Mus musculus: one gene and its partners. The protein of the gene in region 1 interacts with the protein of each later gene in a biochemical or structural test. Links are inferred from orthologs where the notes say so. Each region holds a gene or a part of one and is shown in the gene's direction. Other genes may lie near its edges.

The links.
Region 2: the proteins of Ncl (region 1) and Top1 form a complex in vitro, tested with the Homo sapiens proteins (2 studies listed by BioGRID and IntAct). The link is inferred for Mus musculus from reciprocal best matches to the Homo sapiens genes NCL and TOP1.
Region 3: the proteins of Ncl (region 1) and Adap1 form a complex in vitro, tested with the Homo sapiens proteins (2 studies listed by BioGRID). The link is inferred for Mus musculus from reciprocal best matches to the Homo sapiens genes NCL and ADAP1.

Annotation. Positions count from the first base shown.
Region 1 is NC_000067.6:86,356,616-86,360,721, reverse strand, and holds the start of Ncl (nucleolin), read left to right. Parts: upstream 1-1,266; 5' UTR 1,267-1,498; coding exon 1,499-1,516; intron 1,517-1,706; exon of another isoform or gene 1,707-2,155; intron 2,156-2,498; coding exon 2,499-2,615; intron 2,616-3,269; coding exon 3,270-3,765; intron 3,766-3,980; coding exon 3,981-4,106. UniProt on the Homo sapiens protein: Nucleolin is the major nucleolar protein of growing eukaryotic cells. It is found associated with intranucleolar chromatin and pre-ribosomal particles. It induces chromatin decondensation by binding to histone H1.
Region 2 is NC_000068.7:160,644,426-160,648,769, forward strand, and holds the start of Top1 (DNA topoisomerase 1), read left to right. Parts: upstream 1-1,471; 5' UTR 1,472-1,804; coding exon 1,805-1,837; intron 1,838-2,182; coding exon 2,183-2,207; intron 2,208-4,344. UniProt on the Homo sapiens protein: Releases the supercoiling and torsional tension of DNA introduced during the DNA replication and transcription by transiently cleaving and rejoining one strand of the DNA duplex.
Region 3 is NC_000071.6:139,304,921-139,308,540, reverse strand, and holds part of Adap1 (arf-GAP with dual PH domain-containing protein 1), read left to right. Parts: intron 1-668; coding exon 669-799; intron 800-3,620. UniProt on the Homo sapiens protein: GTPase-activating protein for the ADP ribosylation factor family. Binds phosphatidylinositol 3,4,5-trisphosphate (PtdInsP3) and inositol 1,3,4,5-tetrakisphosphate (InsP4). Regulates the incorporation of CD63 and CD9 into multivesicular bodies.

The DNA of each region.
Region 1 (4,106 bases):
TATACAGTACAAGGTGTGACCGGTCTCGCTATAAAGACAATGCCCCCACACCACAACTCGGGTTCGCCATCTCCTGCCCTGACAAGAGCGCACTGGTGTGTAGCTGTGGCTGCCCTCCACCGCGTTGGGAAGGCCGTAGTAAGTAAGCATCACACAGTGACTATTTCTACTTATCTCCAAAGGCCCGAGTTCAGATAAAAAAACTTGGGGACTCAACACATCCCACTCGCATTAAAATCTCCCGAGGTTGAAGTCAGGTATGATGGCATATGACTTTAATCACAGCACTAGGGAGGCAGGGGGATCTCTGAGTTCAAGGCCAGCCTGGACTACAGCGTGAGTCCCAGGGCAGCCAGGAATACACAGAGAAAACCTGTCTCATAAAATAACATCTCCTAGGTCGGGCCAGGCGTGCCGATACAGGTCGAGGCTAACATGGTCTACATGTGTGCTCTAGGACAGTAAAGAATAAAGTCCTATCTCAACTCCGGACGAAAACTCCACAGGTCATTTCTAGTGGATGTTGTTAGCTGATGAAGGGCGCCTGTGTGCTATGCTTGGAACCAGTTGGTTGCAATCCATTTAAAGCAACGCCAGACAACTCTCTCGTTCCCCCCGCCATGGAGGGAACCTGTGAGCGTGGTCACAGGCGGGCCGAGTACTTCTCCCCACCACACCAGGAAGTCACCTCTCTGAACCTGGAGTTATACCTACCGCGAGAGGTCACCGACATTACATGGATCGCTTGTGCACTGCTCGTACACACACACACGCACAACTGCTTTTATTAGGAGCTCTCAGGAAAGCGGGGACTCGCATCATAGCCAAGAAGCCGTTCGCGACTCCGCGGAGAACAGGCCGAGGCCCGCTCATCAGCCCGAGGGAACCCTAGGCCTTCCGGCGTTCTTCAGCAGGACCACGCGGCGCGGGGGAAAGCACCGAGAAACGCCCAGACCACCTGAGCATCGCCGCCCATGCTGCCTCGGAACACCTGAGGGAATCCGGGCCACGCCGCCACCTACCCGCGCCTCACACACAAGCCGCGCCAAACTCGCCCGTCCCACTGCGCAGGCGTGGGGAGAGCCCGGCGCTCAGGAGCATTCAAAGGACCCGCACACTGACCAGTCAACGTCCGCCTGGGCCCAAACGAGTCCCGCCCTCAGGAGCAGACGTCAGGCCCCGCCCCTAAGAGCCCCGCCCTCGTCAAGCCTTAGGCCCGCCTCACGCTGCCCCGCGTTAAGGCTCGCGGTTGGCTCCGGGGACGGACGCGAGCTCTGGTTGGTGGAGCCGAAGTCACGAGGACCCCCTTCGTCGCCTTTCCAGAGGCGATTACTGGGCAGGCTCAGTCTTTTGCCTCAGACGCTAGCTGTAGCTGGCAGGCGGTTGTACGTGCTCCAGAGTCGTCGGTACCCGCTACTGCAGTCGCTTTCGTGTGGCTTCCGCTGAGCTCTTCCGAGCTGCTCGCTCTCCACACGCGCCGCCGCCGTAATCCGCCACCATGGTGAAGCTCGCAAAGGTAAGAGGCCTTGGCGCGCCGACGCGGACGACTAGGCCCCTGCTTTCGGAGGGACGCGCGCGCGCCCGCCCGTCCGTCGCGGAGGGGAGGAGGGCTTGCGCGCAATCCCGGGCGCGTTCGAGGGCGCCATGCTGGGGGGGAAAGTCTCGCGCGACTAGCGGGAGGTCTCGCGGTGCTTGCCCTCTGACTTAGGGGGATGAGAAGAGCGGAGGCAGGTTTCCGGGAGGGCGATATCGAGGGTTCGGATGTAGCGGGCGGGAGGGGACGGTGTGAGGAGAGATCGGAGGAGCTGAGAGCGGATAGGGGCACGGCGTGGGAAGAGAGGGCCAACCTTAGGCGGCGAGCGGTCCCGGGGCCCCGCCTCCCCGCGCACGTGCTCTGGTGCGCGGCCCGCCACGTGCTCTGCGGAGCCCCGCACGTGTCGCGCGACCCGGGGCAGTGGGGGAGTGTCTGTAGTACCCCGGAAAGGGGGACGGCAGCGTGGGGATGGATGGGTGGCCCGGCGATCTGCTGTCTCTGCCGGTGACCGGGATGGACACGTGGTGGACCCCTGAGGTGGCGGCGTGGTGACTCCACGTGGTGGGGCTGGAAGCGAGAGAAAGTGGGAAGCAGTTGGGTTACGTGGTGCTGCTTTAAGAGGTGATTTCGAGATACCCCCTTCCCCAGCAAATAACTTAAAGGGATCCCTTTAACTGGGTTTTTTTTTTTTTTTTTTTTTTTTTTTTGTGGAAGATGCCAGAAAATAGATGGCCACGACTAGGAGACTTTATAACCTGTGGCTGTTTCTTGGTGTAGAGTTCTGTCTGCTCAGTTATCTGTGAGAAGGAAAAAAAAATTATGCGCGGTTCGCAGAAAAAACTGCCAGGAGAATGCCATGCCTGGCCAAGAAGAAGTCTTTATGCTTGTGTCCTTTAGTAAGAAAAAGGTGGTGGCCAAAGGCAAAGTGACTGAAAATGCGTGCAATTTTTGTGTGCGTTTGTAGGCTGGCAAAACCCACGGTGAGGCCAAGAAAATGGCTCCTCCTCCAAAGGAGGTGGAAGAGGATAGTGAAGATGAAGAAATGTCAGAAGATGAAGATGACAGCAGTGGAGAAGAGGAGGTAAGAAGCTATTTGCAGCAATAAACCGGTGGAATTGAATGTCTGGAAGTCTTAGAAATACAGGATATGTAGTAAATGGTTGAATGGCAAGCCCCTTCCTCCCTCCCTCCCTCCCTCCCTCCCTCCCTCCCTCCCTCCCTTCCTTCCTTCCTTCCTTCCTTCCTTCCTTCCTTCTGCAAGACAGTCGGCAAAACAGGGGACAGAAACAGGCAGAATTTTGAGTTCCAGGCAAGCAGGGAGTAGTACATAGTGAAACCTTGTCTCAAGACCGTTGTTATGGTCATGCTCAATCAGATTTCTTAGAAAAGCTCAGGTGCTGAGTCCAGTTTTTTTTTTTTTAAAGTATTGAAAGCCATGTCTCCTTATTTCAGGGTTTAATGTTTATCTTTGTGTGTGCGCGCACCCATTAAGCATGCTTGGTACCCTCATACTAGAATGTACTTGGATCCCCTGGAACTGGAGTTAAAGCCACATGTGAATGTTACATGTTACAAGAGTAACACATGTGCTTAACTTTTGAGTCATCTCTCCAGTTCTTGGTTGTTTGTTTTTTTTTTTTTAAGCCTATCTAATGTCCATTTTCTTGTGCTCAAAGTTAGTCTCTTAATGTAGCATTGGGTATAAAGGAATGCTTATGATTTGTTTGCTTTCAAGGTTGTCATCCCTCAGAAAAAAGGCAAAAAGGCTACCACAACCCCAGCAAAGAAGGTGGTTGTTTCACAAACAAAAAAGGCTGCAGTTCCCACACCAGCTAAGAAAGCAGCTGTGACCCCAGGCAAAAAGGCAGTAGCCACACCAGCTAAGAAAAACATTACACCAGCCAAAGTCATTCCAACACCGGGTAAGAAGGGAGCTGCACAAGCAAAAGCGTTGGTACCAACTCCTGGTAAAAAGGGAGCTGCCACTCCAGCTAAGGGGGCTAAGAACGGTAAGAATGCCAAGAAGGAAGACAGTGATGAGGATGAAGATGAAGAGGATGAAGATGATAGCGATGAGGATGAAGATGATGAGGAAGAGGATGAGTTTGAGCCACCAATAGTAAAAGGAGTGAAGCCAGCAAAAGCAGCTCCTGCTGCTCCTGCCTCAGAGGATGAGGAAGATGATGAGGATGAAGATGATGAGGAAGATGATGATGAAGAGGAGGAAGATGGTGAGTTAGATCTTAGGATATTTAGGGTACTGCATGTACATTCCCTCACTGTTTCATTAGATTAAAAACTCATTTTGTGCTCTTAGTTCTTTCCATAACTTAATAGGTTTTCATTTGCTAAGTAGTTTTTGTTTTTTTTAAGTATTTGTAGCATTTATCTTGTCTGGATTGGTAGGTAGCAAATACATTTGCCTGATTTGCCATCTTTCTTCCAGACTCTGAGGAAGAAGTTATGGAGATCACAACAGCCAAAGGAAAGAAAACTCCTGCAAAAGTTGTTCCTATGAAAGCCAAGAGTGTGGCTGAGGAGGAGGATGATGAGGAAGAGGATGAAGATGACG
Region 2 (4,344 bases), on another chromosome or scaffold:
TGGACTCTTAGCCACTGCATTGTTGTGTTTGCCTTTGTTGATTGGACTCTTCTGTCAGAGGACCTGTTGATTCCTGGGGGCTAAGTGCTGAACAAGATGGAGAGGTCCTAACCCTCACTGACCTCGAATTATATAAAGGAGACAGAAAAGAAGTCACTAGCTCCCATATGGGTAACTTAACAACTGTGATAACTGTTATAAAGGAGAGAGGCACATGGGTACAGCATGCGGAAAGGGGCGTGCAGCACTTCAAGCTTGGTTTTTCGGGACAGTTTCTCTAAGTAGCCCTGGTTGTCCTGGAACTCACTCTGTAGATCAGGCTGGCCTCGAACTCAGAAATCCGCCTGCCTCTGCCTCTCAACTGTTGGGATTAAAGGCGTATGCCACCACTGCCCAGCTGGCTTGAGTTTTGAAATATTCACAAGAATTAACCCTAAGTGTTTATCACTCAATGTTTATGAACATTTTCCGAATTTATTTATATGGGGGATTGAGCCAGACTGGAGATGAATTCAGCCTGGGATGTTCTTGCAAATCCAATTGCTAATGTCATTAATCCCTCAAGACAGTTTGATAGTGGTCGATGGTCCACACCCAGGACTGTGAGGAGTCAGGGCAGACCTTATAGTATGGTGTTCCCTAAATAAAGTTCTCTCAGGGTACAGTCCTGGTTAGAACCAGGATCCATTTACCTGGGGGTCCAATTCCCTTTGATTTGGAATATTAGCCCTCTCACATCAAACTAATTCCTGTCTCACAGTAGGCGCTTAATAAATGTTTATAAAAAGAACAAATGCAGTAGGGTACTTGTGACACAGGGCTACATGACTGTAAACTGGAGCTAAACCTGACTGAAAAATTAAAATAATTTTTAAAAATGGGTGTGAAGTGCTGGGCGGTGGTGGCGCACGCCTTCAATCCCAGCACGTGGGAGGCAGAGGCAGGAGGATTTCTGAGTTCGAGGCCAGCCTGGTCTACTGAGTGAGTTCCAGGACAGTCAGGGCTACACAGAGAAACCCTGTCTCGAACACCCCCCCCTACAAAAAAAAAGAATAAATAATAAATAAATGGATGTGAAGTATTCCAGAAGTCTGGACAAAGGCTGTGAGGAGACTCCAGCTAAATGCCTTACGGCTGCTGGTGAACTAAGATCGGGGCAGCCAAGGTACGTGCGGATCAAACTTGTCTGGCTCTAGAGATGCAGAAGCTGGAGACACGGTCCCTGGCCAGCTTAGCTGGGTCCCGCCGCGGCCTTTAAAGGCCTACCACGTGGCCGCCCGGGTGTCCAAGGTCCAGAGGCGGTGTCCACGCTGCGCCTGCGTGCTGCTAGAGCCGGTGTCCCGCCTCTGAGAACGCCAGTCCCGTAGCAAGGCAGAAAGCAGAGAGTGGGCGGAGTTAAGTCCGTATGCTAATAAAGGGGCGGAACTTGCGAGGCAAAACCGGCTCTGTCTCCCGGACCTCTAAGAGACCCGCCGCAACCCTCAGCCTCTTTCCACGAGCGCTGACGTCGACGACGACGTCCCATTTAAAAGCGGCCGCGCAGGCGCAGTGAGGGGAAATGCGAACTTAGGCTGTTACACAACTGCTGGGGTCTGTTCTCGCTGTCCGCCCGCCCGGCAGTCTGTCAGTCGCGTCGCTACCGCCGCTGCCTCCTCCACTGTCCCGGGAGTCTCGGGCCGGTGGCTGCTGTCGCCGTCTGTTCGTGCTTCTCAGGAGCTTCGTCCGCCCGTTCAGGCCGTCCCTGCCGTCCGCCTCTCTTCCCCCGCGCTGCCTCTGAGCCCGCAGCGTTCGCACGCCGGCCGACATGAGCGGGGACCATCTCCACAACGATTCCCAGGTGCGACCAGCCGGCCCCCGACTCGTCCCCAGCTGCTCGGGCCCGGGCCGGCTCCGGCCCCGGCCAGGGCCCCGGTCCCAGCCCCAGCCGGCCGCGCCGGGTTGACAGGCCCGAGTCTGCGATGAGGGGCGGCCGGTTGGAGTCGCTTGGATGGCCGGGTCCCGGGCGGAGCCGTCAAGTTGGAGTTTGGTGGGGGGATGGCAGCCCCGGGTAGGCCATTCGCGGGCCTCTGGGTTCCGGGGCGCCGGGTGGGCCCGAGCCCCGGCCCCCGGCCGCGCGCTCTCGTCCGCCGCCCCGGGGCTTCATGTGCCGGTTGTTTCATCTTCCCTCCTTTTCTTTCCTCAGATCGAAGCGGATTTCCGATTGAATGGTGAGTGTGCCCCCCGCCCCGCCCCAAGTGTCCCCACACGCCGCTGCCTGCCTCCCCCGCGCCGGGCCGGAGCCGGGCAGAGGACAGACATGGCGTCCCAGAGACTAAGTCCCGGCTCCTCGCTCACCGGCCCCATTGTTCCCATCGGGCCGCCTCTGGACCCCCTTTCCCGGGGTCTCAGCACCCCCAGATCACGGCCTTCTCCAGAGGGGGCACCGGAGACCCCGCGTCGACCGTCGCTGGGTCTCGGGCGGCCTTTCTCCGCCGGGATTCTTCCCGGGAAAGTCGCCTTGTCGACGGTCGGGACTTAGTCTCTGCGCCATTTTCTTTTTCTCTCTCCTCTCCTTTCTGTGCCTGTGTCTTTCTCTCCCTCCCTCAGCTCCTTCCTTGAGCTGTCCAGAAAGAGCTTTCTGCAGAGCAGAGCCATATAAATCACAGACCTCACCAAAGAAGGAAGGCTTAGGGACGGAATTATCTTTTATTTTTTCTTAATAGAACTTTATTTTGGAAGTTACTTGCTTTCTGCTTCATGTTTGCTTGCTTTCTTCTTCTTTTTTAATTTTTGTGATTCCAGAACGAAAGATTCCCTTAGGCAGCTAAGGGTTTTATGGGTTTTTTTTGTTTCTTTTGTTTTTTGTTTTTAGTCCTTTTATTTTTTAAATGGTGAGATGTTTATAATAGCAGTTACAGTTCTTGAAACTAAAGCCATCTTTTGTGGAGTTCTTTGTATTTTGGGATTGTTTTCCCAAGTTGTGCTGTTTGCAAAGATAACTCCCTTTAAAAAAGTTTTCAGGTTGTCTGTGTGTCATCTAGTGTGAGTGTTGGACTTGAGCATATATTCTTTAAAAAAAATTAAAAGTATTAGTGACCAGAACTTCCTATTGTGGCAAGGTAGAGTTTTTTGTTTTTTGGGTTATTTTTGAGACACAGTTTATTGTGCTTGTTCCGAAAGGTTGCTGAATTGCTCATTTAGACATGGTGTGCTGGCCTTTTCTTTGGGGTCATAGGGAGTTTTAAAAAAGATTTTATTTATTGAAGTAGAGTGGCCAGCCCTGACTCCTGTCTTCTTCCTCATTCTTCTCAGGGGCTGCTATTTTTTTCAGGAATTAAGAGTTAACTGGCTTTCCTCACATCCTTAGGCTCTTGAGCCCTTTCCAGTCATGTTTTCAAAATATTTCCACTAAAGTTACCCAGGGAAGAATGTTGGTGGGTGTCTCCCACCACCCCAGTAAGAAGCTCACATTTAATGGATTTTCCAGCAATTCCATTGTAGTATGCTGGAAATTCCCACAGATTCTTATGGGTCCGATTGTGTTCAGTTAGTTTGGGTTCTGGGGAACTGAGTGGGAGAAGCCATTGAGTAGGTTTTCTGGTGCAGCAGTCCATGGTACTGGCCTGCCCAACTGAAAGCCTTATGTTTATATTTCCAAGTTGGTCATCCAAAGAGAGATGACACTGAGTTAGAGACTCTGTCTAGGTAAAGCTTTTCTTGAGCACCTAATATATGCCAGGTACTGTGCTAGAATTGAACCTGTCACCAACCACATCTGTCTTTGTTCAACTCAGCCTATTGGGGGAGTCACATCAGTTAATTACAAGGTAGGCGTTGGAGTGTATGTGTACCCAAAATGCTTTGGGAGCATAAAGGGCTTAATTTTATCTGGGGGTGGGGAAATTTCTTGGAGGTGACTGAGCAGGGTGTTGTATAAGACTAGGTACTGAGAATTGTCAGGGGTTGGATTATTTCTTGGGAGTCCATCCTATCAGGCTTTTAAACGAGGGAGATGAGACTGTCAAGCATATAGATAAGCTTCTTTGGAAAGGGGGTAAAGAAAGGATGTGGTAGTTGTGGATGTAAAATGGTTTTGAGCTCTCTGAAGGAAGGTAGGAATTTAATATAGAAAATTTATTTGCTTTTTAGTTGGGCCTAGTATGTAATATATTTAGCAATGAAACAAAATTGAGTCCTTTTTCCTCTTAAGTTTAACTTCCATTGTTCCCATCTAAATACAAAAGAGCTATTGAATCTATGCATGATTATGGGCTGGGTATGTTATCTTTGCATTTTTATAGAGTGAATTGAACTGCCTATGTTAACTTTTAGGATGTATTTCCATTTTCCAACAATGATATTTAG
Region 3 (3,620 bases), on another chromosome or scaffold:
TGAAGTAAGAGAGTCAAAAAGTTCAGGGTATTCCTGGGTTACAGAATGAGTTCTAGTCCATCCTCAGTAGCTTACTGAGACTGTGTTTCAAAATAAAAGGTAAAGAGATCTGGTAGTGTGGTACAGTGGTAGAGCCCCTGCCTAGAATCCCCCAGTGAGGGGCTGGGGGCGTGGCTCAGTGGTAGAGCTCCTGCCTAGAATCCCCCAGGGAGGGGCTGGGGGCGTGGCTCAGTGGTTGAGCCCCTGCCTAGAATGCCCTAGTGCAGTGGTTCTCAACCTTCTTAATGATATGACCCTTTAATACAATTCCTCATATTGTGGTGACCCACCCAACTATAAAATTATTCACTACTGCTTCATAACTGTAATTTTGCTATGGCTATAAATAGTAAATATTTCATACATAGGATATCTGATATGTGACCCCAGTTCAACCCCTAAAGGGGTCATGGCCCACAGGTTGAGAACTGCTGCCCTGGTGAGTGGCTAGGCTTTGGCTCAGTGGTAGAGCTCTGGTCCAGTGTGCTCAAGCCCTCAGTTCTATCACCGCCACCCCCTGTCATGGCCCTCTATTGGATTCTATGTCCTACCTTCCTGACCTGACTTTCCTCATGGGCGTGCTCTGGACTCCTAGGTGAGCTTCCCTGACCTCTGCCCTTCCCTTCTAGATCCTGACTGGGCGTCCTACACCCTGGGTGTGTTCATCTGTTTGAGCTGCTCTGGGATCCACCGGAACATCCCCCAGGTCAGCAAGGTGAAGTCAGTCCGTCTGGATGCCTGGGATGAGGCCCAAGTTGAGGTATGAGTCAGGAGAGGGGCACTGGATGGAGAGAGGGGCATGGGTACCCTGTGTCCATATATGGGGATGACCCTAGCTCCTTCATCTCCAGGCAATGGGCCCCTTCAGGGTCTGGGCTGTCATAGGCTGTGGCATAGAGCACAAGCTTTAAGGAAACTTGGGCTGGCTGAAACTGACGGTTTCATGGCTGATCCTTTGAGGAGCCACGTGGTAACAAAAATCAAAGCATTTGTCCATCTATCCACCCACATTCTTCCATCTAGCTATCGACCCATCCATCCACCCACACTCTTCATCCATCTACCTACCTATCCATCCGTCCACACATCCATCCATCCATCCATCCATCCATCCATCCATCCATCCATCCATCCACCCACTCATCAGTTCATCTAGCCAACCAACCAGGCATCTGTCTATCCATCTTTTCATCCACCCATCCATCTGCCTACTCATCCACTCATCCATGTATCAATTTATCCTTACATTCAACTATCCCTCCATTCATCCTCCCACCCAGCTATATATATATATATATATATATATACATATATATATATATATACACACACATACATATATATATATATCCACCTATATATTCATCTACCCACCCATCCACTCATTCATCAGCTATGTATCCATCCATTCATGCATCTATAACTCCATACATTTACCCACCTGCCTTTCTATTCACCCCCATCCTTCCATGCATGCACCCATACCTACATACATCTATCTATTCACCTCACATGGGCACATACTGTGTGGCTGGCTTGGGGAGCTGAGCAAGGAATAGGCATTGCTGCCCTCTGGGAAGGCAGGGGTGGGAAATGGGTGTGAACACAGGCCCAGGACACAGGGTAGCTGCTGGGATGCTGTTAGTGTGGCAGAGTGTGTGGCCAGCATAGGACAGATCCCCATATAGAGTGTGAACAAACACTGACAGGTTGGGGAAGCATATTCCTAGCTGGGATGATGGGCTCTACTACTGAGCCACACCCCAGCCCCTCCCTGGGGATTCTAGGCAGGGGCTCTACCACTGAGCCACACCCCCAGCCCCTCACTGGGGGATTCTAGGCAGGGGCTCTACTACTGAACCATGCCCCAGCCCCTCCCTGGGGGATTCTAGGCAGGGGCTCTACCACTGAGCCACGCCCCCAGCCCCTCACTGGGGGATTCTAGGCAGGGGCTCTACTACTGAACCATGCCCCAGCCCCTCCCTGGGGAATTCTAGGCAGGGGCTCTACCACTGAGCCACACCCCAGCCCCTCCCTGGGGGATTCTAGGCAGGGGCTCTACCACTGAGCCACACCCCCAGCCCCTCCCTGGGGGATTCTAGGCAGGGGCTCTACCACTGAGCCACGCCCCCAACCTCTCACTGGGGAATTCTAGGCAGGGGCTCTACCACTGAGCCACGCCCCCAGCCCCTCCCTGGGGGATTCTAGGCAGTTAGACTTGGTAATCTTCCAAGTCACCCTCTTCACTGTCCTAGAGAAGAAGAGGGTCTCAATCTTTGTGTTAAGGGCAGACTGGCCTTGGTCCAGTGATTCCATGAGGCAGTACCAGCAGAGACACAATGATAAGATGCTGTTGTCTCTGGCCAGGCCTGACTCTGACTAGGAAAGGGAACGTCAGCCTAGGCCAGTTCCCAGGCTCTTGGAGGAGTCTGGGCTTGGACCACAGGCCCCCTCCCAGAGGATGGTACTCCTACTTTTCCAGCACTCTCTGCAGTCTTTCACATTTCAAGGCTTGTATACTGTTCTCAGTGTTCTTCAGTTGTTTGGTTGGGTTTCAGAGACAGGGTCTCATGTGCAGGCCAGCCTGGAACTTGTGATGTGTCCAAGGCTGACTTGGAACTCCTAATCCTCCTGTCTCTGGGGATAGTGAGTGTGTGTCACCATTCTTGACTTACTTTTTTCAAGATTTTTTTTGTCTAATATCTTTTAAAAAGTTTTTTTCTGTACTGGGAGGTGGTGGCGCACGCCTTTAATCCCAGCACTCGGGAGGCACAGACAGGAGGATCTCTGAGTTGGAAGCCAGCCTGGTCTACAGAATGATTTCCAGGACAGCCAGGGCTACACAGAGAAGCCCTATCTCTGAGTTCAGTCCCTGGGACCCACATGGTGGAGGAAGAAAACTGACTTCCAGGTCGACACTCACCTCTGTGTGTGAGCTGTAGCATGTGGGCACGGAAACACAGTAAACCAACAAACAAACATAAATAAAATTGAACGTGGTGGTGCACACCTTTGATTTCAGCGGAGGCAGGCAGATCTCTGAGTTCAAGGCCAGCCTTATTTACACAACAAGCTCCAGGCCAGCCAGGGCTACAGTATGGAGTCCCCGACTTTTAAAAAGTGAAATAGCCAGACATGGTGGTTCATGCCTTTAATCTCAGCACTCGGGAGGCAGAGGCAGGCAGATCTCTGTGGGTTTGAGGCCAGCCTGGCCTACAGAACAAGTCCAGGACAACCAAGGCTCTGTTGTCCAGAGAAACCCTGTCTCAAACACACACACACACACACACACACACACACACACACACACACACACACACACACACACTGAAATGACAGAATCTCACTCTGTAGCTGGCCTGGTACTTACAGTCTTCCTTTCTCAACCTTATGAGTACTTGGGATGACTGGCATCACTACCGAGCCTGCCTGCTATTTGGTGTGTTTTAATAATCTGCTACTGTTGTGCATGGGGGCACATTTGCCAGGCTCAGCGGAGGATTGACAGTGTGAGAGCCCCCCCTTCCCCTGGTTTTGGCTTCTCACCCCAGAGGCCGCCAGTGACCAGTGCTTTGTGCTTC